4 linked regions of the Lepisosteus oculatus genome follow. Each later gene encodes a partner of the first gene's protein in a complex. Links are inferred from orthologs where the notes say so. Each region holds a gene or a part of one and is shown in the gene's direction. Other genes may lie near its edges.

What was found.
Region 2: bud13 (region 1) and snrpd2 share a complex: the UniProt entries of both Homo sapiens proteins name them as parts of the minor spliceosome. The link is inferred for Lepisosteus oculatus from reciprocal best matches to the Homo sapiens genes BUD13 and SNRPD2.
Region 3: bud13 (region 1) and snrpf share a complex: the UniProt entries of both Homo sapiens proteins name them as parts of the minor spliceosome. The link is inferred for Lepisosteus oculatus from reciprocal best matches to the Homo sapiens genes BUD13 and SNRPF.
Region 4: bud13 (region 1) and rnf113a share a complex: the UniProt entries of both Homo sapiens proteins name them as parts of the minor spliceosome. The link is inferred for Lepisosteus oculatus from reciprocal best matches to the Homo sapiens genes BUD13 and RNF113A.

What each region holds. Positions count from the first base shown.
Region 1 is NC_090718.1:5,139,043-5,145,972, reverse strand, and holds the start of bud13 (BUD13 homolog), read left to right. Parts: upstream 1-3,925; 5' UTR 3,926-3,938; coding exon 3,939-4,072; intron 4,073-4,804; coding exon 4,805-4,895; intron 4,896-5,043; coding exon 5,044-5,128; intron 5,129-5,282; coding exon 5,283-5,340; intron 5,341-5,699; coding exon 5,700-6,277; intron 6,278-6,930. UniProt on the Homo sapiens protein: Involved in pre-mRNA splicing as component of the activated spliceosome. As a component of the minor spliceosome, involved in the splicing of U12-type introns in pre-mRNAs.
Region 2 is NC_090698.1:1,335,272-1,342,375, reverse strand, and holds the start of snrpd2 (small nuclear ribonucleoprotein Sm D2), read left to right. Parts: upstream 1-4,091; 5' UTR 4,092-4,237; coding exon 4,238-4,239; intron 4,240-5,115; coding exon 5,116-5,295; intron 5,296-6,936; coding exon 6,937-7,104. UniProt on the Homo sapiens protein: Plays a role in pre-mRNA splicing as a core component of the spliceosomal U1, U2, U4 and U5 small nuclear ribonucleoproteins (snRNPs), the building blocks of the spliceosome.
Region 3 is NC_090702.1:41,356,321-41,364,117, forward strand, and holds snrpf (small nuclear ribonucleoprotein F), read left to right. Parts: upstream 1-4,774; 5' UTR 4,775-4,881; coding exon 4,882-4,884; intron 4,885-6,361; coding exon 6,362-6,487; intron 6,488-6,867; coding exon 6,868-6,932; intron 6,933-7,410; coding exon 7,411-7,477; 3' UTR 7,478-7,742; downstream 7,743-7,797. UniProt on the Homo sapiens protein: Plays a role in pre-mRNA splicing as a core component of the spliceosomal U1, U2, U4 and U5 small nuclear ribonucleoproteins (snRNPs), the building blocks of the spliceosome.
Region 4 is NC_090723.1:1,931,855-1,939,094, reverse strand, and holds the start of rnf113a (E3 ubiquitin-protein ligase RNF113A), read left to right. Parts: upstream 1-4,225; 5' UTR 4,226-4,248; coding exon 4,249-4,351; intron 4,352-4,965; coding exon 4,966-5,045; intron 5,046-5,951; coding exon 5,952-6,050; intron 6,051-6,473; coding exon 6,474-6,581; intron 6,582-6,923; coding exon 6,924-7,033; intron 7,034-7,240. UniProt on the Homo sapiens protein: Required for pre-mRNA splicing as component of the spliceosome. As a component of the minor spliceosome, involved in the splicing of U12-type introns in pre-mRNAs. E3 ubiquitin-protein ligase that catalyzes the transfer of ubiquitin onto target proteins.

The sequences.
Region 1 (6,930 bases):
GGTGTAGCTCTGCAGGCTCTGACAGCAATAGAGGCTGGAAAAGAAGATGTTCATGACCAGACTCGTTAGACGCTTGTTTTCCTCGAACAAAGTTTTATTTAAAATTATGAACGAGCAGTGCACCCTCTCCATACCCACAAAACTGCTAAAGAAAATGTGAACAAACAGAGGGGGCTACTGTTAATTCCATAAAAACAATTCCAGAAAAATATTCTTAATCATATTCGTTACCCTTTTACACCTGACTTGCCAATAAACAGTTTAGTCCATTTTTAACACATGATCACATTAAAACTTGTTCAGAAAGTCTTGATATATAATATTCGTGGGTCAAAGCTCCACAGCCGAAACATGTTTCTTTTCTTCTCTTTTCAGCTGGAATAAACCTGTACTTTTTCCTCTGCAGCCCACATATGCAGACGCAGCTCCCTACGTGAACTACTTCAGTGTATATATATATAAAAGCATGAATATTAGATATCAATAGATGTTAATTTATATCAAGTAGTATAGATTGGGATATTTATAAAATTGTATGTAACTTCTGAATAAAGTCTTATTTATGGAAATAAATAATTTGTTTATTCTTTTAAAAATACTTAAACTATCATCATTTGAAATTCAGTGAAAAATTACTAGATGAAAAGACCATCAAATGTTTGAGGAAGAAGTCAGTGGAGTCGTCTTACTGTAAAAAGTCCAACAGTTAAGTCATTTTCCAAGAAAGGGTGTTTAAATACCTCCCTACAAAAAATATTCAAAATATTTGCCCATGAAGAATGTTAGTTGCGTTTACCTTAAATTTCTATATTTTGCTTTCAGATATTTAAAATTAGGAACATAAAGATGTTACACAGTTTTTTGTTCTATAGAAAAAAACGTCTCAAAGTTTCTGTATGGACACATGGTATTAATATATAAAACTCCTGTCCTCAAAACCAATCGAGGGATAAAGAAAAGCAGGTTTTAGAAGTGTATGTGAATATGAAAAATGCCACATTTCCTTAAGAAAAAACGAACACACTCATCTTTTATCGCCAATAACCTTCTCAAGAACTTTTTTTGCTTTTGCTTTTTGATAATGGCTTTTACATGTTTTCCTTCCTCTGCTTAGATTTAACTTTTATTTCCAAATATATTAACACAATGTGAGAGAGAATAATATGATGTAGTTTAGGTATCCAATTAAACCTTAACATACATTTGAAAGATTTTAAGTACAGTATTTTAAAAACCTTTGTCAGGTAAATAATGTTTAATGTAGATGTTTACTGGTGATAAGATGCACACTGTACTTATAAATTAAAATAAACACCCCCACAAAAAAAACTTTGTGTCAGTCAAGAAATGAAACTGAAACCATTTTACTTTATAAACCGATACTCCTAACTGTGCCCAAAGATCTGGACTAAATTAAGTTAAAACAAGATTATATAAACATTGGCTTTCAAAATAAAAACAAATAAAAAAATACAATTACAGTTTATTCAATCTCATCCATGACACTCATGATTTCCAAATTTCTGGGTATTTCGTTATTAATAGAGAAAACAAATTATGTTCTTCATTAAAGCAGTATATTTTATCCTTATTGAATAATTAAAACATTTTTATCATCAATTTATTTTATTGTTATATAGAGCCTTTTCAAGACACTTTTCATACATTGTACAGTAAAAACAAGTATAGTATACAGAATACATAATAAAACCAGATATCATTTTAAAAATGAAAAGAAAGAAATAGATGAAGAAGTAAAGGCTGCCAAAAATGATAAGCTTTAAGGAAAACGTCAACACCATAACAATTACAGAATTTCTGTATGAAATGAAAAGTGTAAAAGTGCTACACTGCAGTAGTAGACAACACCTAATGGCACAGTTACAGTATAAAGTAGCATATCAGGTAGTCCAGGTGGGGGGCTGCGTCAGCATGCGTAGTCTGCAAAGGAACAAGTAACAGGTTTGTTCCATGCTGCTGTTTTCTCTCTTCTCTTTTCAGCATGGAATAAACCTATTACTTGTTCCATATCATATAAAGTACATTCAACCTGATATAAGTGAAGAATCGTTTTTTTATCAAATAAAACCTTATTTAACAAGATGAGTCAGCTGAGAGCACATTTTCATTTACAATGACAAGCTGGAGAGTCTTCATTAATACTGCAATCGGAGTGCAGCTTCCTCCCCAGGAGTACGATAGCAGCATGGCTCCAATCCAGAGTGATTCATCCTGTTGTACAGATTATATCAAGGCCCACATTGTTGGAATCCCCATTAGAAAACCACACCCTTAGCAGTACTCTTGGTCACAGCAAAGAAATGAAACTGAAACCTTTCCACCAAAGAAAAATGAGTTTCTGAACATGCAAAAACAATGTACAGTAAATGGAGTTAATTTATTCTTTGTCTAATATCCTCAAAATCATCCTGGATCACACGGACCTCTAAATAGTACAGTACTGTATACCGTCTGTGCTGTTCACTTGAGCTGACAATTCAAGACATTGCTTAGATTTATACACTTCCAATAGACAGAGAAGACAGAGACACAGACCAACAGTCTGACATACAGTAAAGTTAAACAGCTAAACAGAAAGATATTTTCATCTGAACACCAGATTTCCCTGATCATTTAGCATTGATTTTAGCAACCCGTACAACTTTGTACTTTGAACAGTGGGGTTGGCTGATCGCTATAAAAATATATTTATAGTTTTCCGTTTCTGATTAGGAATTATACTGTAGGTTATTAACGGTGTAAAGATAATCTCCAGGTTTTGTTCTTTGTTTTAGACTTACATGTGAGTTCAAATAGAAAGATATTTTTATCTGTACACCAGATTTCCCTGATTGTTTAGCATTGATTTTAGCAACCTGTTCAACTCTGTGAGGAAACGCAACATTAAGTATTTAGTCATTACTAATTAGAATACAGTATAAGATTATAAGAACAGTTACTGTTAAAACAAGAGGTGGCCATGCCCTGTGATTAGCCCATTTGGTAGTTATTAGTTAATTGATCTGGAAGAATCTCATCCAGCCATTTCTTGAAGGAAACCAGAGTATCGGCGTCAAGTTCTCCTGTTTTCTGTTCTTGGAGTTTTCACTTGTGTCCCTGTGGCTTGTGTTTCACTGTTTGTTTTGGAGTCCCTTGAGAAAACTCCTTCGGCAGCTTGGAGAATTTTGAATACTTGTATGAGCTCCCCTCATATTCCTCTCTCCTCGAGAAGAATAGACATGCATCCCAGATGGGCAATCTCGTTGAAATGCTACAGAACAGCAGGTTTTATAGCTTTTACAGCTGTGTATTAAATTGTCCATCCCCAAACACTTTAGGACATTTAATACTTCAGTAATAAATATTATTTTTTATTTCACAAGGCAGCAATGTCATCGGTTTAGAACGAGTAAGAAATGAACATTCTGAAACGAGTGACATCAATATTACATTTAAAAAAATAAATATAGCTCAATAACTGGTGGCAAAAAAAAGCGTATCACTGCCTAATTTTATGAATACCTGGAATGTTATTAATCATATTCCTTTTTTGGTTTTTAGTCTTAAATATTTGATTAGGCAACGTTTCCATTAGAGCAATAAGTATAGCAATGAAAGAAACAAACAGCTTTCAATTTATGTTTCAGTTCTGTGGGTGAGACATTATTGTAATAACCTAGTACTGTGTCCGAGTATTGGATAAAAACACTAAAAGTGAGTTTGATTTAACACTGCAGACTTTTTCAGAATGCATGTTCTAAGATACAACTACAAATAAACTAATAATAATACCTATGTTTTGTTGTGGCTGCTTTGAAGTATTTATCCTTTACTTTTTCTCTTATTCGTAATTCCGCTTTTCGCTGTTTATTTTTTCGCGTTTACTGTTTTGACCCCATCCGGCTCTCCGTCAGCCCGGATTGTTTTCACGAGCAGTAATGGCCGCTTCCAGTGCGCTTGCTTCTGTCTCCAAAGCCGAGTATCTCAAACGCTATTTATCCGGAGATGGAGATGGCAAAACGTCAAAAAACAAGAAAGCCAAGAAGAAAAGACCGCAGTCTACAGCAAAGGGGTATGTTTCAGGAACCAGTGACTCAATCAGGCACATTAGAAATGCAGAAAGTGACTGAAAGTTGTAGGCCGGACTAAACTTACTGAGATACTGGAGTGGAGTGTATGAGCGCAATCGAGAGCGTTGTCTTGATTTTACCTCTACGAGCCGCATAAAACGCTACAGTACTGTATATGTGAGGTTATATTCTCAATAACCCAGGTTGTGGAAGTCTTGAGAAATGTATTTTTGAAGCTGTGCTGTGGGGTCTGATCGTTCTGTTGTGGGAAACTCGAAAGAGGATTATTGGTCGCAAGGTAATTTGGGTCTAACATGTCCAGTGTTTTCAGCTGCAAAGGATCTCTGCTAATCTCTGTGTCGGACATGTTTTCCTGCTCCTCTGGTATTGTAGGACCAGTCTTTCTCTAAAAACTTCAGGAGTCCGGCAGAGAAGATCCTGTTGGACACCTTTCATTGGGGAAAAAGTGCTTCCTGAATGAGAACTGAGAAGGATTTCTAGGAATCTTTTAAGAGACACGTTTATGTCCATAGAAGAGCTTTTGACGATTTATCGCAATACTGTTCAAGGGAGAGTTGATAGATCACGCCTGTTTATCCACAACAGACCAACAGCTATGACTCTTTTTTTAAAGCGTTTTTATTTGTGGCAGGCTACATGTCGGTGATTACAAAAAAGAGCATTCCTGCTGTTTTTTTTACGTTTTGCCCTCCTGTTGTTGCTGCTGCTTGCAGGATGAGAATAGTGGATGACGATGTGGACTGGAAGCAGCTGATAAAGTCAGAAGAGAAGGACGACTACGAGGAGGAAGAAGAGGCTCCAGTGGTAGGAATTCCTTTATAGTTTACATTCATTTACAAATGCATTGGCTTAAACTATGTTTAGGTGCATTTCTGCTGTCCTGAACCTTGTGGAGAATCTTTGCACAAAAGCTGTTCCTTCTGCGTGCTCTGTTGTCGTCTTCCTCTTGTAGGTGGCAGAAGTGATAGATGAGCGTCCGGAGGAGGTGAAGAGACTGGAGGAGTTCAGGAACAGCAAGCGGTGGAAAACTTTGGGAGGTAAGAGTAACCGATGCTTACCTGCTCTTTTGGGGCTAGCATTCTGATGATTTAGCATCTATAAAGTTGTACTGTAATTGTCTAGGTGCATACATAATATTTGATTTGAGTTTCTAAGCAGTTTTATCAAATATTATTATGTTTGGTCTTCTAGGTACTAATGAAGATTTTCAGGATTCAGACAAGTTCCAGGGTGTCCGTTCATCAGCAAGGTACAGAACTGATGTTTAATGTATTTTAATTTTTCTTATGATTGTCTCGGCTTTGTATGTGGTACAGTTCGATGCATGTCTGTTAAAGCAGCTCAAATGCTATGAGATCATTTTGACTCACAAGAGGCACTTCCACTGTTAAATTATTAATGAAGAATGCCCCCCAAGAAGCAACACTGTTAGGAGCATTTGTTTGTCCAGGCTTTCAGTATTGGAGTATAAGAGACAATAATGAGCTGTCATTGAGTTTCTTTGGTGCTTAAAATGTGGATATTTCTAAAACATTACAGATCATAAAACAGAATACATTAAAACAAGTGTGTAACATTTGAGTTCATCTGTGTAATTGTCCATTTCAGTTCAGGAGCTGCCTCTCAAAAGAGAATAGAAGAGACATCAAGAAAAGGTCGTCATGATTCTCCAGATTTTTCCTCTGTGAAAAGGAGCCGTCATGACTCTCCCGACCTTTCACCCCAGCAGAAAGGTCGCCACGACTCTCCCGACCTTTCACCCCAGCAGAAAGGTCGCCACGACTCTCCCGACCTTTCACCCCAGCAGAAAGGTCGCCACGACTCTCCCGACCTTTCACCCCAGCGGAAAGGTCGCCACGACTCTCCTGACCTTTCACCCCAGCGGAAAGGTCGCCACGACTCTCCCGACCTTTCACCCCAGTGGAAAGGTCGCCACGACTCTCCTGACCTTTCACCCCAGCGAAAGAGACGTCACCACTCTCCCGACCTTTCACCCCAGCGGAAAGGTCGCCACGACTCTCCCGACCTTTCACCCCAGCGGAAGAGACGTCACCACTCTCCCGACCTTTCCCCATCGAGACAGAAAACTGTCCCCAGAAGAGCACGTCATTATTCCTCATCTCCTTCTCCCCCAGTTAGAAGCCACGGGGGCTCTCCAGCAAGAACTCATAAGAAAAAAGACAAAGGTAAAGAGCAATTTTACTTATGTACAGTGTAATATTTTTAGAAATAAGCCATTTGATATCTGATTATTTTATACCAGTTCCCATTCATGACCCTGTAGGGATGCATGAAATCACACCATCTGGCTTGGTTCAGTTTTGAATAAGTTTATCACAAAAGTCTCTGGAGAGTCAAGCTGTGTATAAAAAGTAATCTATAGCACATACATCACACAGTGTATATCCATCAGCAGCAGGTGACAGACCTTTTGCGTCACCATGTAAAGAGTGGAATATTGTATCAGGAAGAAGGTTTCTGTCTGGACGCTAGTACATAGATAGTCAGATAGTTCTCAGTTTTGACTGCAAAGCCGGTATTCACTTACAGGTCAGGAAGTTTGAAGGTAATTAATGGCTTTCAAAGCTTTGTCACGTCACATACGAGCAGCATGAGTTTGATTTCTCTTGTGAACGTAAACCTTTTGATAGTGTTTGCGTTGTCATTGTGTCACTCAGGGGAAACTTCAGGTTTTGTTTCTTGTTTAAGTGCGCTGTGCATACTTTTCAAGAACAGAATTGAAAAGCACTAATTTGTCTGTTGCACTATATATAAGACAGAGTAAAACTCTTATTTAAGGTTAGTATTCATGTTCTTCTAAGTAAAATACTGTTAAAAG
Region 2 (7,104 bases), on another chromosome or scaffold:
TTTAGGATGAACTTTTTCTCACCTTTTTTTGTCAGAAAGATTTGCAAACAGCACTGAAGAGAAGCACAGGAAGCTAGACGCTGCTGAGGACAGACTTGGCACCCAGTCAACAGGCTGTCAGTTACTGCCTGCAGCTCATTGCTTTATCTGCTGGTGAGCAGCTCAGAGAGCTCTCCGACTCACAGCAAAGTTCTGATGTTGTCAATGTGGCTCTCTGATCTGTCAGAATCGAACGAGAATGGATTCTAGTGGGAGGAAGAAAAACATGGTTATTGACACACTGTGCATCGGCAGAATTTTACAACCACCTGCACTGTCTGCCCAGGGCTGAGAGGTTTCTATAAATGATAGAAGAGAAGGAGATTCACAAAGCACTGAGAGAGAGAGAGTGTGAATGGGAAATGGAGAATGAAAGAGAGAGGGAGAGAGAGGTTGTGGGTGAGCTAAACCCACAAAGTCCCGAGGCTGCAGTAATTTGAGCTGGTCGACAATTAATCATGGTGATAAATAATGAGCTGCTGTCGTACAGAGCTAATTACTCAACACTGTCCTGATGTGGGAGACTGTAAATCATCATCTGACTGGTCTGCAGCCGGATTGCTGTGACGGCGCCTGAGAGCATCTGTTGTGCCCACTGTTCTCCCAAAGGACAGGACAGACCAGCCCATGGGGCCTGGAGAGAGCCAGGACAGGACAGGACAGGACAGGGCCAGGCCAGGCTGGCGCAGCGTGCCGCTGGTTCAGACCTCCAGCACAGGAGAAGAGAGAGACTGCGTTTCCGCTGCTGGCACTAGATACCTAAATCAGGGGTCATGAGTTTGCCTGAATAGCTGTCAGCAATGAAGATAAAAACAGGTTTAATAGCTCGGTACTTCTTAACCTGCCTTTACGTAAGTTAATCTGCTCATAAACACACCCACATTATCAGAAGCCTCCATGAGTAATGTGCTGGAGAAGCTCAACCTGCTCCGGGAGCGGATTCAGAGACTGCAGGAGAACCAGTGGGTGGCGCTGTCGGGGAGAAGATGCCCTACAAGGGAGAACTGGAGCCCCAGTAAAATGACAGATGTGGCCAATTGGCACGGTTTTCCACCTTGCTCTGCCACACCTTCACCCCGATTCTTCAGGCTTCACTGTGATCTCTCTCCCCTGCGGGAAGGAGAAGGAGGCTTGAGTGTGCTGCCCAGCTGTCATATGGACATGAGGGTCTAACAGTGTGTTTGACGCAAAACCTGGGGGAAGGACTCTGCTCCTGGAAAGCTGTGTGATGGATCGCTCAGAAATGGGAATTCCTTTTTTTTGGTCTGAAAGCCGTATGGAAACAAGGCTGCCATTTTTCTGAGGTTGCTGTATCAAGAGACGAAGGCAAACACTAAAGCTGCTGTCTGCTGCACATCGCAAACCCCACACAGGACGCTCTGCACCTGTGGAATTCACTGCCACTGGTGGCTTAAACACCCATCACCTCCCCTCAGCGTCTGCACTCCTGGTCTCACTGGATCAGTCTGTGCTGCTTTACTCCTTTCCTTTGTCGCCGTGCTGTGTTGACCTGGGCTATTGTACGGAGCTTTGAGTTTCTCAACACGTTTGTTCGATAATAATGCACTGGTGGGATTTTGACACGTTGCCAGCTCCACAGCCGCTGGCAGGGTGCCACACGACCTGCAAATGCGACGCAACGTTCCCGGCGCTTCGGGTTTGTAATATTTGCCTGCTGGCTGAATGAAGGATGTGATTCATTCCGGGCCAGCGGAATTCTTACGGACAGCATGGAGGCTCTGCATACACTGGAGGCCTGCAAGGGGTGATGGGAAGAGTGGGAGACACTGAGCTTCCTGGGATCAGTGTCACACACCCCTTGAGCAGTCAGCAGGCTGCCGAAGGGCTCGGAGAGCTCTCATGTGGCTCTTTTTTGATGTCCACTCTACCAGGCCAGTCAGCTGCTCCTGTGGTCGCGCGGTGGTTTTTTGTCTCCTGTGCTGTTCAATGGGATCTTGCAGGCGGTAGCTCTTGCGATGGCTCTGGGCAGCACGGGGAGACCGGAGAGGCGCGCAGTCGGAGACGAGCTCCGCGTTTGAAGAGGGTGAGCGAGGGAGGGGAGGGGAGGCGCTGGGCAGCCCCCCAGGCGCCGGGCTGTCTCGTGCCAGTAAGCCAATCCCCAGCGGCCTCTGCCTGCGCCTTTACAATGGCAGGGCATTCTCCGGCTCCTGAGCCAGCACAGATACCCATCTCCCTCTCCTCTCCGGCTCCCAACAAAGGGACACCTGTGTGTGCGGCCTCGCCCCCTCCCGCTCCAGTCCGCCCCTCCCTCCCTCGCCTGCGCAGTAGGAAGGAGGGGCGCTGTTCTGTTCTACCTTCTCCCCTCTGGACCTCTTGCACGGTCTTGAGCTGTCCATCAGAAACTCTGGGCTCCTCCTCTTATGAAGTCTCCTCTGAGTCTGGGCCTCAGCAATCTGCATCACTCTGGCTGAAGAAGAGTTTCTTATTCTGGATTATTCTAATCTATTTGACCCTATCTTTAGATCTTCTAGTATTTTAAACACCAATTGCATCTGATTTTCCTGTGCTCTAGACTGAAGGGATTTAGTTCCTTGAACACGTCTAGGACAATCCCTTGAGACTAGGAATCATTCTAGTCACTCTTCACTGAGCTCATTCTGCACTGTGATAATGATAACGTTCTTTTGTTCTGTGTGGTGATCAGAACTGAATACATTTTATGAACGCTGAGTGGGTTTTGACATTTCATCAATTGTATTATGCAAGATGAGACCACATGCAGAAGATCAGACATTCTCAGATATCACACACCCACTCGCCCACACGCGCACACAGGGACAGTTACAGACAACAACTCATCCAGCCTGAACATCTCTGAGAGCTGAGAGGAAATGGAAACACCAAAAAAGTGTTTCCTAAAGAGCCATCTCTGTGTGCTGTTGTTTGAGTTAACAATTACGGTTTATATGTCTTGCAGTGTACTGCTTTTGTTTCATTTGGAAGTTGTCTTGCCTACCATAAAATGGAGTGTTTTGGAAATTGTTGAACATATCACAAAATAGGAAACAAATGCATTTATTATTGATGTTGCAAGGAAGCTATAGTTATTTTTATCAAAACTAATCTGTGCACTGTGTACAGCCCTGATACTTATTTTTCTGTTCATCCGTTTTCTGACAGCTTCATCCAATTCAGGATCAGTTGGGACCAGGAAGCAGTAGCACTAGGCAGGGAACACCCTGGACAGGATGCCAGTCCATCACTGAGCCACACAGACAAAATCGTACCAGCCTTGATTTTCCCAGAATCCAATTAACTACCAACGTGTCCTTGGGCTGTGGGAAGAAACGGGATCACCTGGAGTTTACCCTTGCAAACTCCACACAGACAGTACCCCAGGTCTGGAACTGAACCCTGGGGCCCAGCACTGTGAGGGAGCAATACTGACTGTACCACCATAGACAGTGAATTCATCACACACTTCATTACAAAATACTTATTAAACAGTAGAAAGGTTACTAGTTTAGTAAAAAATTGGACAAAATATATTTTATTTAAGTGTCTCCCTAAACATGTGTGTTTTTCATTGTTTTAATGAACATCATTAAAGAAAAACATTTTTTCAAAGTTTTAATGAACATCAAATAACACATATAAGGAGAAAGGGTACCCAAAAAAGTCAAGTGGAAAAAACACAGAACAATATGTTGCCGGAGTTATTTTTCACGTACTTATTGTAATTTAAGTGATATGGCATTCTGGGCTTGTTAGCATTAGAGGAGGGGTAGCATTAGTCCTTTTTGTTTTTGAATGTGATATTTACCTATTATTAACAACATTAAATATAAATATTTTTCGATATTACATATTGAAAAGCATAACATGATAACAAGCTCCTTAAATTTAACATTCACATTATTAATCTAAGATGACTAACAAAGTTTTGCAAGCCTACAGTCTTTAAACGTTGCTGTGGATGACACGCTCTGGGTGACACTCACGGCTCCTGCCAAGTCCGTGCGCGAAGAGACGGGCACCGTGCGCTCGCGAGAGATCGGCCTCCGAACGGAAGTGTGCAGAGCGCCTGCGTGGTAACCCGGAAGCGCTTGTAGAAAGTGGAAGGAGCGGACGGTAGTTCTGTGGACTTGCGCTGGTGGGAAGAGGGGTTGTTTTTTGGCGAATTATTTTCAACACAGTAAACATTTCGTCTTATAATTAACATCGCCAAGTAAAAAACATGTAAGTAAGCAGTAGTTTGTTGTAAATTCAGTCGGGGACGGATGTTAATGTGAACCGCGTCGCCGTGTTTGAAGCCCATGGAGGCGGCCGGCGCCTTTGTTAAAGCTTGCAGCGCGTTTTCGGTCAAGCATCGTGGTTCTCAAATCCCGCGTGGGGTGTTTTCTTTTTAATTTCTTATCATGTAATGCCCACAGTCTTGCATTTCCTCGGCTGTGAATTGACCTACGCGCTACGGTCGTGTGTTTCCTGCATTTAGCAACGGGGCCGAGACTGCTGAGCTCGGAGCACGGTTGTATAGAAATACGGGTGTTCACGGTAGTCGTTTCGCAAACGTAAACTTTAAATAACAGTTTGACTTTAATTGGCTGGGAGCGATCCTCATAATTACTCTCTCCTGGGCTGTATATTCGGCTGCAGGTTTCTACAGTGTCACGGAAGATGCCGTTTGGTAACTAGTAGTGAACAAACACATATCGAACAAACTTTAATACCGGTATGCATACCCTTTTTCTTGCAAAACGGAGTAAAGAAGTCCCAATCTGGAAAATAGAAAATCCCAACAGTTCGCTTGCGGAGCCTTCCTCGTGTGTGAGGGAGGAAGAGGAAAGGAGGATGACTATGGACCAACTGGTTTGTGAAGAGAATAATAAGAGGGCAAGTGAGGAGGTATCCAGAGGAGCGGTAATCTGAGGTTGAAGTCCAGAGAGAAGTCAGGGATGTGTGGAATGTGCCGACCCAGGCGAGAGTTAAACTCACACGCTGGCCCAGATCCCCTCTGGAGCTTTTTTACAGTGCCGGTCTTGCTGTCTCTCTGCCTGGCCGTTAAGTGCAGCGCAGTGCCCCTCTGATCTCTCCCTCTCTCTCTCCCGCGGGCAGGAGTCTGCTGAACAAGCCCAAGTCGGAGATGACCCCCGAGGAGCTGCAGAAGCGCGAGGAGGAGGAGTTCAACACCGGGCCCCTGTCCGTGCTCACCCAGTCGGTCAAAAACAACACGCAGGTGCTCATCAACTGCCGCAACAACAAGAAGCTGCTGGGCCGCGTTAAGGCCTTCGACAGGTACGGGCCGCCGCCGCCCCGTCCCGCACACACCCCCCCATCCCGGCTCCTCCGGGAGGCAGCCGCCAGCCCTTTTGTGTAACTGATGGCTGATTTAAACTAGGATGGCCAGCAGCTCTATCACCCTGCAGCTCCCCGCTGGCAGCCCGCTGAAGCTCAGCAGTGTCATCCTGGTCAGTACCTGGATGGGAGACTCCGGGGAAAAACTGTTTACTGCCGGAAGAGGTTGGACCAGTAGGGGGCGCTCACCCTGCGGTCCATGTGGGTCCTAATGCCCCAGTATAGTGACAGGGACACTATACTGTAAAAAAGGCGCCATCCTTCAGATGAATAAAACCGAGGTCCTGACTCTCTGTGGTCATTAAAGATCCCAGGGTGTTTCCCCGGCGTTCTGGACAAATTTTCCATTTATTCTGTGATGCCGAATCAGTCAGGATGGTTATTATTGACTGCTGGCTTGATAGCATAGATAACAGACCTCCTTGGGCTCCTGGCACTCCCAGGCAGAGGTGCCTGTGTCCCATCGCGCCTGTTGCTGAAATAAGAAGGCACCCTGTTGTTATTTTCTGCCCTAGTTCAGGGAGTCACAGGCAGCTGTGGTAATAACCTTTCCCTTGGAAGACGGTCGTGTCTTTTATTTCCCTCGCTGATGTAACTCAGTGGCTCCTAGCCCTGGAGGAGAAATACCCCCTCCTTGCTTGCATTTATACCCTGCTGTAAGTTTAACCTTATACGGTTGTATGCAAACATCTGGGCGCCCCAGGCCACATTACGTGTTTTGTTCATTTTCTAAGTGAAAATAAGTTAACAAAACCTCTGCAGCGAACAAACTTAAACTCGACATATTTCTGCTGATTTCAGTGCAGTCACTATTTACTTGCTGAATTTAACAGATTGGAAAAATAAAACCGTGAATTGAACCTAATTGACTCGTTAATCTAAGTCAGGTGGTGACAATTCCAGAGCTTAATAAATTCTGACTCTTCAAACCTCTCAGGGTGTTGTGCTGTATTTAGCAAACCAAATCCTCCACAATTTTACTACCAAACTATTGCATGCCTGTTGCTGGAATTAACTATATGGTATATATTTTATTTTATGGTTTATTTTTTGTTGTTATAAAGCACGTTAGGAATAAGTCCTCATTGTCCAGTTGCTTAAAATCCAAACACCTGAATGCTTATGAGTTGTTGATGCTGAGGAAGAGCTCAGGTGGGCTGATACCAGAGGAGATGGGTCTGAGTTTATTAACTGGAACAAAATCATCCTCCAGTCCTCAGTGTGTTGTAAGTGTACATTGGATTAAGATTATTTGGTCAACAACAAACTGGAAAAGATTGATATTCCCCACTGAGAAATTATTGTAATTTGATCCTTTTTCTTTGGAGAAAGGGGAATTTGTCCCAAGGCCTGTAGCTGGCGTGAGGAGAGCGTCTCATGTGGACATTACTTATCAGCTTACCAACGTGCTCCTGCTGGTTTGCAAGGTCACACCGCACGCGACCAGGCCCGCATGATGGACACTGAAACCAGACTCGTGTTCTCCTGGCGTCCGGGGGGGTGGAGGGACCAGCATCTCCGAAGCCCCCGGGAGAGCGCCTCATCCGCACTGACCCCCGTCTCTCCTCTCCCCCCTCGCAGGCACTGCAACATGGTGCTGGAGAACGTGAAGGAGATGTGGACCGAGGTTCCGAAGAGCGGCAAGGGAAAGAAGAAGTCCAAGCCCGTTAACAAGGACCGCTACATTTCCAAGATGTTCCTGCGGGGTGATTCGGTCATCGTGGTGCTGAGGAACCCCCTCATCACCGG
Region 3 (7,797 bases), on another chromosome or scaffold:
AATACCTTGATACAAGTTCTAAAAAAAATCCTGGGTTTCAAGATTCCTTTCTGATAATAAATCAGGATGCAGCAATGTGCTACAAGACCAGCTGATTCAATATTTGTGGGCTGTTTAATTATTATTTTTTCTATAATTTGACCAAATATTTCCCGTTCAATCCCACTCTTTGCTGAGCTAAGCAGGGAGATATGTAGGACACTGAACTCTCCACACCCACTTAAATTATTACTCCACGATCACCTCACTATGGTTCACTGGCTCCCATAGTAGGGAGGCTGCCCGTGCGTTATACTGGAACATGAGGAAACTGCTACTTCGCATGCCAGCTGCCAGTCTGCCAGCTGCCAGTCTGCCAGTGCCAGACACGCACAAGCAGAATCATGCCCTTCATTGGAACTGAACAGGAGGCTGCACCCGACCAGACAGAATATTTCACACAATCTTCCGCCACAATCTTGTTACCACACCTCTCTGGTACCAGCTCCACCGACCTCTTTTTCCAGAAGGAATACATTTTCACGCAGGCCGCAGCGTCTCCTCACAGATTCCTCTGTGCCTCTGTCTTTGACAGCTTTGTCTTTTGCCCTTCCTTGTCGGCCATAGCGAACGATGAACGATTAAATGCGAGGTGGAGGGCACACATGGAAAACAAGAAAAAGTGCACTTAAAAGGTAGAACAGGAGGCACGTCTTTACCCAAAGAGCTGTGGGAGACTGGAACAAGCTAACCAGTCATGCTGTTAAAGCTGAAACCCCGGCTTGTTTCAAGAAACAGCTGGGTGACACCCTTGGATCAATGAACTCCGGAGTATTCCGTCACGCATAGGGTCTTTAACAACGCATTTCACGGGAGTCTGGCCCGGCTCCCGTGACACTGAGGTCTGCCAGCTCTCTGACATCATCAAGGCCAGCCATTCCTCCCATGAGCACTGGGCCTCCTGCTCCTCACTGCAGCGTGCTCAAAGATGAATGGTGTAATGCGTGGGCAGGCTGGAAGAGCCTGTGTGAGCAAAGATGGAATTGGCTGTTCCAAACTGGGTGGCTAAAATCAGGTCCGTGTCTACAGTAGTTACAGTTCCTCTCGCTCTGCCAGATGTGCCTGGAAATCTTACTGATGATGATAGTCTAACTAAACCTATTCATCCTTCCTTATAAGACTGCGTAAAACTTATCATCTGAGAAAAAATGAGTGCTCCTTTTATACCCTGTTAGATTTATATAAACTTTAGACTACAGCCAAACGAAGCTGTTTTTTTTGCTACGGACGCCAGAGAGGTACCATTCTTTTTCGTCACAGTGCATTTTTTACATAGATGCTTTCCTTACTTATCAAGGAGGTAGTTAGCTGAGTTGTAGCATCTGTTCTCATGTGCCATTTCCTCTAATAAGAAAAGTAATGTCTGTAAGAAAATCTCCAGATGTACAGTTGGTTGATAAATATTTTTACAGACAAATTTCAGAGCTGTACTGTGGGGGTAGGGGCCAAAAACATACATCTCTGATGGGGTTCGTGTTACATTTGAATTTCCTGCTTTATATAGTGCACATGAACTCAATTAACCTACCTGGAGTAAAATATTTTTTTTTTAGGAACAAGCAATAGGTTTATTATATGCTGAAAAGAGAAGAAAGAAAACACAATGTTTCAGCCATGGAGCCTTCTTCAGGTGTGTGGATAAATAATGGATGGATAAAAAAAAATATTTTTTTATCCACCATCCATTTTCGAACAGCTGTATCCATTTTAGGGTTGTGGGGGAGCCGGAGCTGATCCTGGCAAGCAACAGGCGCAAGGTGGGATACAGCTGGACAGGATGCCAGTCTGGGTGGGATACACCCTGGACAGGATGCCAGTCTATCACAAGGGAAACATTTCTTACCACAGCAGAAAAATTATTTTGAGCTGTAACTTTTCTCTTCAGTCTTGAACAGTGATTAACAGAAATGATTAGAGAACTGCACATCACCATTACAAATCTTCAAAGGTATGGGCAGGGTGAGCCTAATATAATTACTTTATGCTCAGCACCGCAACTCTGACCCTAAGGAACATTTTAAAGTTATGCAGAAGTGTGTTTTAGCACGGAGAACTGGGGGCAACTCCTTGCACAAAGCTGGCAGTTCATGTTCTTGAAGTCAGTACCTTGAGATTCTTCAAGAAACAGTTGGGTGAGCTCTTGGGTTATACAGCCGATATTATTCTTGACTTTCTAGACTGACAGCTTCAGTCCTTGGACATAGAGCCCTGTGGTTTTAATTCCATCACGGATTTTAACTAAATAATTCTTCGGATAAGAAGTTGAATCGCCTGCTTTTAGGGTTTTAATCAGTTGGTAACTGAAACGCTCCTGTAAAACCAGTGGAAACGTGGAGGTTCTCCAGAAGAACACGTCGTTAATTCAACTCTTTGGATGAGCAGAGCTACAAAGTGTGAAGGCTAGTAGATAGTGCCACCATCTGGTCACTTACTGAAAGCATCTACACTTTATTCATTACAGACGATGTTTTCTATCCTCATGATTATGCGCGATACGTGCCCTGATTATCTCCCGAGACATCCTGCTCGGCCGGCCAGCAAAGGCTTTATCGTTCATTGAAGACAATTATCCTCGACCCCCGAGGGTTAGCCAGTGAATAATATTTTATGGCTACTTCTCATTTACGGATAACCTTAAAGTGGTCATGACTAATTATTGAGAATATTTAAATTTCACACCTAAAAATGTAATAGTCGCTTTATTTGATCTTTCGAATAAAGGCATTCTGTGATATGTTCTAAAAATATTTACACCACATTGTCAAAGTGAAAACGGTTTCAAAACAGCATTGTGAAATTAAAGCAAGTGTTCTAAAAACATCCAATATAGGTAATAAATTTATATTTAACTGTGTTGCTAAACGAGAAATTAGAAAAAAACAGAGAAGCAAGAAAGAACAAGAATGTTTTGGGGAGAGGACGAGATCATTGTGTAATTTATGATAGCAGCAAGTTTGGGATTATTTTGACAGTTCTAATTAAACCCGAATCCCCCATTAAAAAACGTGTTTTTAAAGCCAAGCAACAAATACGTCTAATTTTATACAAATTGTTGTAAAAAGACAGAATATTTTGTCTTAATATGACATAAAATAGAAGATTCTTGAAAAAAAAACATTTTATAGTATTAATTAATCCTTAGACTTTTTTTCTAGAGCACAAACATTTCCTAAAGAAAATTAAATTTCGAAAGTAAATTTCTAATACAACTTATATTATACTTTTTAGACAACAAGCTTTTTGGGGACTTTTGGTTTGGCGTTGTTTTACTTTTTAGTAAAAGCTTTTATGTTTCTGTAACTTTCTGCATCTTTTACTGTCCCTCTCGTAGTCTGAATATACATTACAAAATGAAAGAAGGCTGTAGTCATAAGGTCGACATAAAATATCCGGTCACAATATTCAAGCAAAGCATGTGCATGGCCATAATTACCAAATATAATTCTAATGAAACATATATTGTAATGGATTCGGGTTCGGCAAGGAATGGAGCAGGCATGGGACTCGGGGAATGGGGTTGAACAACACATTTATTAACTCAAACCGGGGAAAGGTACACACACAGGGACAGGGGTTACAGCGCTGCACCTTCACTAACACACCCACCTTGCGTGCACATGGCTAAAGCGCCCTGCGTGGCGCTACATTGCCCCCAGCTGAAGAGTCGAGTGTCCCGCCGACTCCAAACCGCCCCTCCAGGCTGCTCCGTGGGCTCCTCCTCTAGCCTCTCCGTGTGGGCCAAGGACCTCCATCGGGGCAGGCTCTCCGGCCAGGCCAGGACCCTCCTGGTGGGGGGCCGACCTGAGGCGGCAGCGGCGAGGGCGCATACCCACGGGAACCCCGGATTAATACATTACGCGGCAACTCTTCTATTTCGACCAAAACTTCTAAAGCAATTCCCTTCAGTACTCTATGGGGATAGAGGGCGCTATGGAGGTGCCCTCATTGGGATGAGCCGTTGAATCAGAGTTACAGAAATTTATTTTTACAATAAAATAACAAATATACTCCAATTTGATTCTTAATGTTTCGAACTTTTTTTCGAAACGCTCAGTGGGTTCTCACAGAAACTTCCCTTATTTGCTGCCAGCCAATTGTTACCAACGACACAGAGCTTAACCACGAAGTACCCCAATCGTCAATTACAATATCTACAATATCTGTTCTCTTCTGTCATACGTATATAACACATATTTGTATGATGCGTGTCATATCACTCAATTTAGACCGGCGGTACAGTCTTTTTTCCGTTTCGCCGAGGTTTCTGTCGGTAGTGACCGTCTATGGTTGCTGCTCTAGCAAACCCGCTTGCTACAATATTACAGTCGTGGTGTATATTGCGGGGATGCGGCTCTAAGATTTCGGGACGGACGTTTTACTCCTGATAATGGGAAGCAGCATATGCAGTCAGCGTTCGGGCATGAGACAATATATTACATATTTGATGTAAGCATGATACCTCGTTTACGCACTTGTTTAACCTCAATAATTGTACCGTGCGGCCTTCTAGGACCACAATGCTTGCATGTTAATTAACATTAATGTAAGTTAGACAATGATCATGGATACCATCGTGCATTTCTAAAACATTATTGGAGACAACCATAATACTGTTCATATATCAACCTCTTCACACAGCTATTTTCCCGCACTGAGAAGCGCAATACACCCCGTAGCCAATCAAATTAAAAGGTCTAGAATGTATCCAATTAAAGTACACTTCCCCCTCGGGTTCAAAGGTGAGAGGTCGGGGTAAGGAAGTACTTCCTACTTTGGACGGTGCGGCGTGCGGTGTTTTGTATGAGACTAACAAGACAAAGGTTTTATTATTGAACGATAAAAATGGTGAGTGTGTTTGAGAGATCTCGATTTTAATTGTGATGTGCGAGTTTGCGCTTGATGTATGGTTTCAATCTGATATGTTAGCGCTGGCTACATAAATATTTCCTTTCATTTGTTCTGATGAATTACTAGGCCTCGGTACTGGATCAGAAAGTACTTTTAAATGCGTTGAGAAATCAGTTCTCCGACAGTTCTACATTTTCGATATTGATTTTGCATAAGATGTACGATATGTTTAGGCAGTGAAGGTACTGGAATTCACTATGTCGAGTTTAACAAAATTGAGAAACAGAATAGATGATCTTCCGAGTATTCCGGGCAGAAGACAAGACGTGAAAATACAGTCTTCGTGCAATTCTTAATAGGAGAAAGTTCAGGAAGCGTGGAACTTTTTTAAAACAAGTACGACCGCCCAAATCCAGAGTATATTGTTAAGGATGGTTGAAGGATGCTTTTAATCTAATCAGAATGTCTATTTTCTTGTGCAATTAAATAGTTATGTATGTGTGGAGTTGTAGTAATGGTTTAGGCTTCTGACTCCAGACCAGGTCCAGGGATTCAATTATTAAGTGTGGCTGTTGTTGTACTTTAAAGCAAGTTATTTCACTCAGATTATTCCAAAAGCGGACCTAACCTATAAATGGGTTAGGTTCGAGTCGCCAGTGCGCAGGAGGATTCATTCTCAATTGACTTGTGTGCTTAAAGACTTATTATAACATCATCCAGGTAGACCAGAACAGGCTATCATGTAGAGGAAATGCATGTAATACTGTCCATCCCTCGTCCCTCACTCACAGCAGGTTGTGCTCTCTAATGACCTTGTTGGGATTTGATAGTCTGACTAGCCAAAACATCTCTGAATCTGGATTTCTGGTCAGGCTGGACTGCAGAGTAATGCCAAAAGACATTAGACTGCAGAATCGAGATGGACACTGACCAGAATTCATCTCCCCCAGAACCTGATGTGAATTGTGTGCCACTAAAAAATTGGGGGAAAAATCAGTGTGAATGAAAAACCTTCAGTTTTTTCAGTTCATGCTGTTTCACCACAGTTTCACCACACATAAATCATTTTTGAACTCCTGAGTCATTGTATTGGAATAATAATTCTAGAAATGTATCTTACTCATTATCCTTGAAAAAATGTTAAACTGATTTTTCTATACCTAATATTGCAGTGCACGCACAACTTGTCATTTAACAATAACAGAATATTGAATAGATATAAATATTGCATTTATTGTTTTTTGTTCACTGAAAATTCAGGCCACAACGACATGTCTGAAAAGGCTAATTTGTCTTTTGTGAGGGCGTACATACAGTTTCATTATCATTCACTGGATACTTCGTTTACTTTTTTTTGTAGCTGTATTTTTTTAAGACATAGGCAAGATGTTGTCCAATTGTCTGTGAGAAAAGGGTATATTTGTTTTATCTCCCTTCACTTGGTAAGGGTTAATGGTGCTTGCTGTCTTTGTAGAGTTTGCCTCTGAACCCCAAGCCCTTCCTCAATGGCCTGACAGGAAAACCAGTGATGGTGAGGCTCAAGTGGGGGATGGAGTACAAAGGATATTTGGTCTCAGTCGATGGGTACATGAATATGCAGGTATGTAAACATGGATGCGTGGTGGAACATGGCTGCTCACATGTCTATGATGGGTATTAGGATTTCATTTTTTACATTTGACTACATTTTTGGCAGACCAGCACTGAAGAGTTTCTTAAACATTCATGCCAATGAAACTGATGATCGAAAGCACAGGGTTGAGTTTGTCCTTATGGTTACTTTTCTCATTTAGATTGGGGGGGAACAAATGACCATGTTGAATGATTATATGTGATCCTTAATGATCCTTTATACAGTATGTGTTCTGGGTGTAGTGAGTTTTACACATTACTTTTGTCTATCCTGTAAATTTTAACTTTGTAGGAAACGCATTTGTAGAGATTGATAAGTCATGTTTGTGCTCCTATTTCTTTTCACAGCTTGCCAACACTGAAGAGTATGTTGACGGAGCACTGGCCGGTCATTTAGGAGAAGTGCTTGTGAGGTAGGCAACTAAGCAGAGCACAAGAGTGCTAGTTTTTAACTTAAAAAAAAAAGTTAACTTAAAATTTTTTGAGTTGACGTATGTGGTTAAATAAAGCTTTATTTGACTGGATATTGTTAAAATCATTGAAGCATGATGATGATGAAATCAAATGAAATTGATAATGCATGTCTTTTGAATTTCATGGTGTATAGTAAGTCTTCCATAATAATTGTAATTGAGAATTAAAGAATTGGCTATGGAATCACACTAATTGTTTGATCCTAAATGTGTTGTCATGCCATTTAACAACATGTACCACTCTTCTTTGTTTTGATTCAAGGAAGGAAGATTTCAGTGAATTCTGTGTCTGCTGTATTATAATCGGCTAAAGCATGTCAGAATACGTTACAATGCATCGATTTTGTATTGGAGTAGTTGGGGAATTTGTGACCTTTGTGGATTTCCTGATGAGCAGAAATGTTCTTGTCTTGTACAGGTGCAATAACGTCCTATACATCAGAGGTGTTGAGGAAGAAGAAGAAGATGGAGAAATGAGAGAATAAAACATTGTGAAGAAATTCTTGATTCTGGGTCACTGATTTTTACATAGTAATTAGAAATGTCACTTTTTTTACGCCATATAAAAAGCCTGTGATCTGTGATAGATTCTTTGGTAGGCAGGAAGCTTGAAATGGAGCCTGTAATTTCCTACCAAAGAAGAAAAAGCTGTTTTTGTTTATGTATCGAAAACTTAACGTGGTTGTCTAACATTGTGCTTCAGGAGCAGCACTGATGTAATAAAATTGTGCATATTGCACTTTCTTAGAATTTGTGATTGAGTATTTTTTAATGAACCACAAGGAATGGTTAGAGTGTTTTCTGG
Region 4 (7,240 bases), on another chromosome or scaffold:
AATTGGAATGAAGTGATTAGAAAGTTGATGGACAGATAATAACAATCCTTCACGTTTTGGAGGTATCATAGATTCTAATAGATGTACTGGAGTATGGGCATGTATAATTGACAAGAATTATTTTTAATGCATTTTTTTCTGTGGTACTGAGACTTTTTTAAGACCTAGAAAGGCAAACAACATTCTTTTACATCAGTACAGTATATCATCCACAATCTGGACAGAGTTTTGCTATCTACTAACCACGATCATATTGACCTTCTCCATTGGTACTAAAAGCAGGCAGCATCTCAGCTCCACACACACACAAAGTGAACATACACCCCACCCTGCATTAAAAAAATTCAGGACAGGTACAAATCTGTTCAACCAGTGTGAGCTAGCACTTTGTGTGAAAGATCAGTGTCTGCAAAGCCCAGATGGCCAGTCAGTTGTGTCGCTCAAGATTCTTAGAGATCTATTTAGGATTGAATTCTGGGAACAAGTCATAGGAGCTGGATTAGCCTTGAAACTCATTACTGTCTTGCTGATGTCATTGATGTTCCCACAAGTGTGAAAAGAGTACAACAGTTTCACAAGCACTGCGAGTATGCTGCTTTGTGAAGGGGGGAGGGGAGAGAGGCTCAGCCCAAACCGTTCGTGACTTGGCACCGAATTGAGGGTTTCTTGATTCAATGCCCAGGGCCGTAGATGGGTGGCAGGGGGGGTCTGATAGAAAGGGGGATTCCTCTTTGGGATACGCCTCTGTTCTCCTTTCTCTGGTCAGTCAGCAGCCTGACAAAAGAATCAAAAGACTGAGAAAGGAGGAAGGGCCCTTCTCCGCCGAAAAGGTCCCCCCGCGCGTCAGCTCACAATGGGCCTTTGTGAGAGAGGGGAGCCTCCGGCCTGGAAGAAGAGCAGAGGTGGCGGTTTGGGGAGGGGGGGGCAGGAGGTAAAGGGGATCAGACAGCTCCTCATGGAATTACACGCACTTGCACATGTTGTATGGATACTAATAAAATAATTACTATCTTCACCCTGCTCCAACCTTTTTCTAACAACTTCAACCACTTCAGGGTTGCAGGGGAGCCAGAGCCTATCCTGGCCAGCAACCCTGGACGCCAGTCCATCGCAGGGCAGGCACACACAAACATTCACAGCAGCTACACTTTTCCCCCAAACCCAGTAACCTACCGGTATGTTCTTGTACTGTGGGAGGAAACTGGAGCACCCAGAGGAAACCCCTGCAGACACAAGGAGAACATACACGCTCCACACAGAGCACACCGGGTCCAAAACTGGACCCAGGGCACCAGCACTAAGGAGTAGCAATGCCCACCACTGAGCAGCTTTGTCACCTGAAGTCACCCAACTCCAACTCGTTAATGTCTGAATAAGTTATGTATTGTCACTCAAAATTCCTCCATCCACTTTTTTCAGTAAACATATACAATATACACGAATAGCTGAAACATTCAGTTTCTTACAGCAATATAATTTGGACATGTCACAGGTCTGTGTTGTAGGGGCAAAAGAGGTCCTTGTGTGAGACTCTTATGGGTTAATACATTCAGTGGGCACCCAGAATCAGGCAGGGATCTAAATTGGCTACAAAGGCTTGGAATATTTTTTTGAATATTTTTTCCTAAAATAATGTTAGACTTTTCTTTTTCAATTATTGAGCAGGATCAAAAACTATATTTCAACTAAAAATAACAGTTCTACATAATGTCAAATCTGACTCTGTCCTGGGCTTATTACTTCTGATCTGGCTCGAGTGTGTTTTAAACAGATACCTACTGCATATGACATATCAGAAAGAAGAGTTCCCCGTGACACCTCAAGAGTAACTGAAAGGCGGGGTTAAACACTGGGAATAGCCCCTGTGCCATAAGTGGAAATATCTGCTCTGATTCCCATACGATTGGTAATGGTCACTCATAAACCCCCATTCATGTTAATAACATCGAAGGACCATGGTTAGAAATCACCGCAACTCTGCTGGAATCTGCTGGACACTGTGGGAGATGTTTTTGTCACAAACTACACTAATCCCAAGCCTTCACTGAACTGTGCTGTGACTCCTTGCATCCCTAAAAGAGGCGATCCGTTCCAAGGACCAAGTGTTTTAATGAGGACTGAAGAATGTCAGACCCAATTGAACCTGTGTACGCTGAGCCCCAGGAGGGCTGATGGCACGCCAGCTCTCTTTCTGGATAGTGCTGACCTGCACAAGTGCGCGAGAGAAACTCCGCTCCACTGAAGAGACGGCTCTGTGCAATATCTGCACTCTCGCTATCCAGGGAACTACTTGTTCTGTTTTCGGCTTTTCTCCCTCTGTTCCAGAGATCAAAGACATCCTTCATTTGTCACAGTGCAAAGAAAAGTCAAATGAGAGTGATTTTTTTTTTTTACCGCTAAAAGCACAATGGCCCCCTTTCAGGGATGTGCCTGCATTTACTAGCACGGCTGATTTAAAGGCTGGTCCATTCTCCCACGAAAGCCGTAGCTGGTGGACATTTGTCAAGACAGTGTGACAGCCCTGCTCGGTGTCACCCGGAGAGCCATGAACCGGAGCCACAGGCGAAAAGAAACAGTTCCCTTGTTTTAGTGTGGTTTACATCCAAGATTTACTGCCTCTATTCATCTCCTGACTATTTACAACCGCATGTGGACCAAATTGAGCTCATCAAGTGAAAACCCATCTGATTTCCCATCACTCAGCTGTGGTTTCCGCTCTCATGTGGTCGTCCTGTCACTCTTGGCTGTTTTTTTTTTGCACTGCCACAAGCGTAACTATTGCTGCTTGTTTATATTAACTGCATTTTACTTCCTTTTCATTGCCATTAAAAAGCCTGTTAAAGCATGCACACAAAAGGGTGAATATAAACATTTAATAAATGCTATGGTTTGTACCGTTGCTGGCAAATGCTAATTTATCTCATCTGAAACCACTCGTTTTCCTCCTGCGTTCGGAATAACAAAGTTGGGAAACAGTGCATGGGCACAGTGGTCAGCATTGCTGTCTTGTAGTGCAGGGCTCCTGGGTTCAGTTCCTGGGGTGGAGTGTGTATCTTCTCCCTGTGTTTACGTGGTCTGATCTCTGGGTGCTCCGGTTTTCTCCCACTGTCCAAAGACACACTTGTGTGTTAATTGGCTTCTGGGAAAATTGTCCCTGGTGTGTGTGTGTGTTTGAGTCTGTGTGCTCTAAGATGGACTGTTGTGCCGTCAAGGGTGTACCCCCTGCCTTGGACCCATTACTTAATGAGATGGACTCTGGCTTCCCTGCAAGCTTGTATTGGTAAACGGTTAGCAGACAGATGGACGGATAAACATTTCATGTTTTTTAAAACATTTCTGCTATCTCTTCGCATGTCCTTTAAGTGCAATTGCAAAACACAAAATGTCTAAATCCAAAGTGTAAATTTTACATTTAAGGAACTTTTATCCTGAATAAATACCAGACAATTTTGGGCTATAAAATCCGTTCACCCTTCTTGAAGTGCATTTAAATATGACCACAGGACGCTCTTCTTTAAGACAAAGATAACCGGCCTTGACTGTTGGAGCTGAATCCCTGACTTCTTTCAAGAGCTGTCTGGATGAGATCCTCTGATCAATTAGCTACATGCTACCAAAGGGGTCAGATGGGCAGGATGAGAGGTTTGTAACTTTTTCATGACAAAAGGTTGTGGCAACAGCACAGGGGATTACAGGATGTGATTTACCATCATACGGGGAGATTCACACCATCCGCTGTCGCAATCAAGCCCAATCCATCATTCAGGATCCCAACCATCCCGACCACAGGCTGTCCTCCCCCCTGCGCTCTGTCAAGCGGTACTGTACAGCTAAAGCTCAGCCCACTAGACCTAAGAACAACTTCTACCCTCCTGCAGTACACATCCTCAACACCTAACTGCAATGTCTCAAACTCAATGCACGCCTGCACTATGCACGGTTTTTTCTTTCGTTAGTACATATTTATAGTTCTGGTTGTATTATTTACTATCTTGTAATATACTGTCTTACATTGTATGGTGTTGTCTGTTGTATCGTGTATGTCCCGAGAGATCAGCGCGAATAATAAGTCCAGTGCACACGTACACGTGTAATGAGTTCCTCTACTCTCTGTTCTCCACGGATCAGAACGCTTGCTCTTGCCCGGGGCAGCTTTGGGAGGGCTTTGATGGGCTGTCACTAGATGTCGCTGTTATATTTACTGAACCTGCGCACAGTCGAGGGGGGATAGAGGCCTGAGAAATAAAAATGGCTGAAAGTGAGGAGTCTAAAGCTACCTGTACGTTTTTCTTTAAAAAAACGAACAAAAAAGTCTCTGTTCGGAAGCGAAAAGCCAGCGACAGCGAGAAAGGTAACTGCGTTGTTCTGTTTCTGTGGGTTAATCGTCACACGTCCTTCTCGTTCACCTGTGAGCATGGTGTTTGTCCACTCTTTGTGAAGAAACACATCGACGTAGTAGCAAACATACTCGTGTTTGTAGCTGCTGCAGCCCAGTGTCAGTCTGAGAAGATTGGAGCCAGTTACAACAGTCTGTAAAAGCTTTGCACGTTTTAAGGCTCAGTTGCATATACATTTTTTTTAGAATGGGAATGATTTCCTCATTACGTTCAAACTCCACTGTATCGGCTTAGCGAAGAAGATTGAAATGACAAGAAAATGTTTAGAGAACGTGACAAACTTTTCAGTTTTTCATAATACATAAGGAGATAAACTATCAGAAAGTTAACAATCTGTTGGACGATTATTGGTTACATGATACTAGTGTAGACTCAGGCAGTTTAACATCATACAGGACATGGTATCCATAACCTTAATCTATCACATTATGTGAGTCTACCCTGCTGCTAGTCTGTCAGGCTGCCCTGCGATAATGGTGCCTGGTCATGTGTTACGTCTGTGTTATCTCTGTTAAAGCTGCCTGTTTAAATGCAGTCATGCCTCTGTATTTGCCCCGTCCTGCCCCAGGTAGCAGCAGTGATGAAGGAGGACATGCAGTGATACGACGGGAGAAGAAGGCCACTATTGCCAATCCCATGATCCAGGGGGTAAGATTCCAGGTTTGGAATGGGAATGTTAGGAAATGCAGTAGAACTATTTCCTGTGCCTTTGATACCACTGACACACTGCCTATGAGCATTGCTGATAAAATGAAAAAAGGAACTCTGTAGGTTTCATGCTATTCATTTTTATTTTAATTAAAGGAAAAAGAAAGCGGTTTTATAGACTAATTCCCCTCCGTATGGTGTTTCCATTTCAGGTATTAGAGGTTTGCACATGCTGGTTAATCATACTTTATATTTTAAAATATTTGATGCCATATGGATCATTTATCAAAGACAAAGATTTATTAAATCTCAGAGTGAGATTTAGGCTGATTTCAATTTGCATGCTCTTTTGGTACACACACCAGGAAAAAATCTGGCTTAAATCATGTCTGTCCATTTAGCATATTGTTACATGTTTTTTTTTAATCATATAAAAAGTGGCAAATGTTAAAGTATTATTTAATGGAACAGTATAAAAAAACATGCATAGTTGCATTTTTTAAATTTCCTCATTGTGAATAAAAAAAAACTTATATCCTATCCTCCATAGACAGCTGTGTGAATTTAATATTGTTCTTTTTATCAGTACAGGCAGTAGAGCCTGCAATGGTAAAACCTGAAAAGTATCAAACTGTTGTGCAGCAGTGGCCTTAGCAGTGGTCCTGTTCTGTAGCTTGGTTGAATTACCCCAGTTTTAACTAAGGCTGATACAGTAAATCACGTGAAAGTCCACTCATTTACAAGAAGTGGTATAGCTCTGAAATATTACTGGTATACAGAGTGGGAAGCTCATCCTTTACCTTTGATCTGCCGGCTGTGACACGAACACACAGACTCCTGCACGGAGAGCTCTGGCGTGTTCTCAGATCTGTTCTGAGTGCTGTCCTTTTCCTCTTGCTCTTTCAGACCAAGAAGGCGGAGAAAGAGAAAGTAGCCTCCAGTGACAGCGAAGGTGAAAAGGAGGATCAGAAGATGACGATAGCTTACAAATCCACCAAATCTGCTGTGAGTCATCTGCGAGATATACAAAAACCTGAATACCCCTCTGTTAAAGACTATGTGTAGTAAATTTCCTGACTATACTAAAATGTCCACCAAAGACCAGATAACCCTTGTTTTGATATCTTTCATTCCATTGATCATCAACAGGTAAACCTTTGGTGCTTTGGGGTGAGATTATGTTACTGAAACCATGGGATTCGCTTGAATATTTAGAACCAGGCTGGAAATGTCATTATCCATCAATGACTGGGATTCTTAAAGAGGAGGTACTAGAACAGCGACACTATGGATCTGCTGGGTACCTGCAGGCTGTCAGTGACATCAGTGCTCCACAGATTAGCACCGACTCTTCCTTAAGGCTGAGGTTCAACCAGTGTCTTTAGGGACTCATTTGATCTCTTCCTGTTTTTGTCCCCAATGTTGCAGAAACCAGAAGGGCCAGAGGACATGGGTGCTACAGCGATCTACGAGCTAGACACGGAAAAAGACAAGGATGCTCAGTCCATCTTTGAGCGCAGCCAGAAAATCCAGGAGGTAATCATCCCAGTGGTCATTGGAGAAGAGAAAATTTCTATTCTTGGTTCACAAAATCAGAAAATTGGCTCTCCTGGTACAGCCTATCTTTTAGAGCTATTTAGTCCTTACCTGTTATTCTGTTCACTTCAGTTTCAACTGGCTATCAAATGCAAACAAATGTACATATTAATATAATATTTATGCTACTAAAAATGAGCAATTTTCTAAAGCAAATAATTGTTTAGCAACAAAAACAAATTTCTCCAATCAAAACAGGATCTAAAATAAAAAGACATAAGTTTTTCTTTTCCAAGGAAGTACTTGACAAGCTGTCAAAGAAAACCCGTTTGTTTCCATTAGGAACTGTCAGGGAAAGAAGATGACAAAATCTACCGAGGAATAAATAATTACCAGAAGTTTATCAAACCCAAAGACACATCCATGGGGAACGCCTCTTCAGGGATGGTCAGGTATGTTTTGGAAGATGTGGCTGGAGAGGGTAGCTAATATTCATTAAAAAATGGTAGTGCATCACACAGAGAAAATGTAATGAACTCTGTTCTTACCGAACCGAGAGCTGGAGTATGGCATAGGGGTTAAAGAGCAGTACTTCCACGAGGCAGTGAGGTGGACCGAGGTGCACGGCGGAGAGAATACGCAGGCGGGCAGGCGCGGGC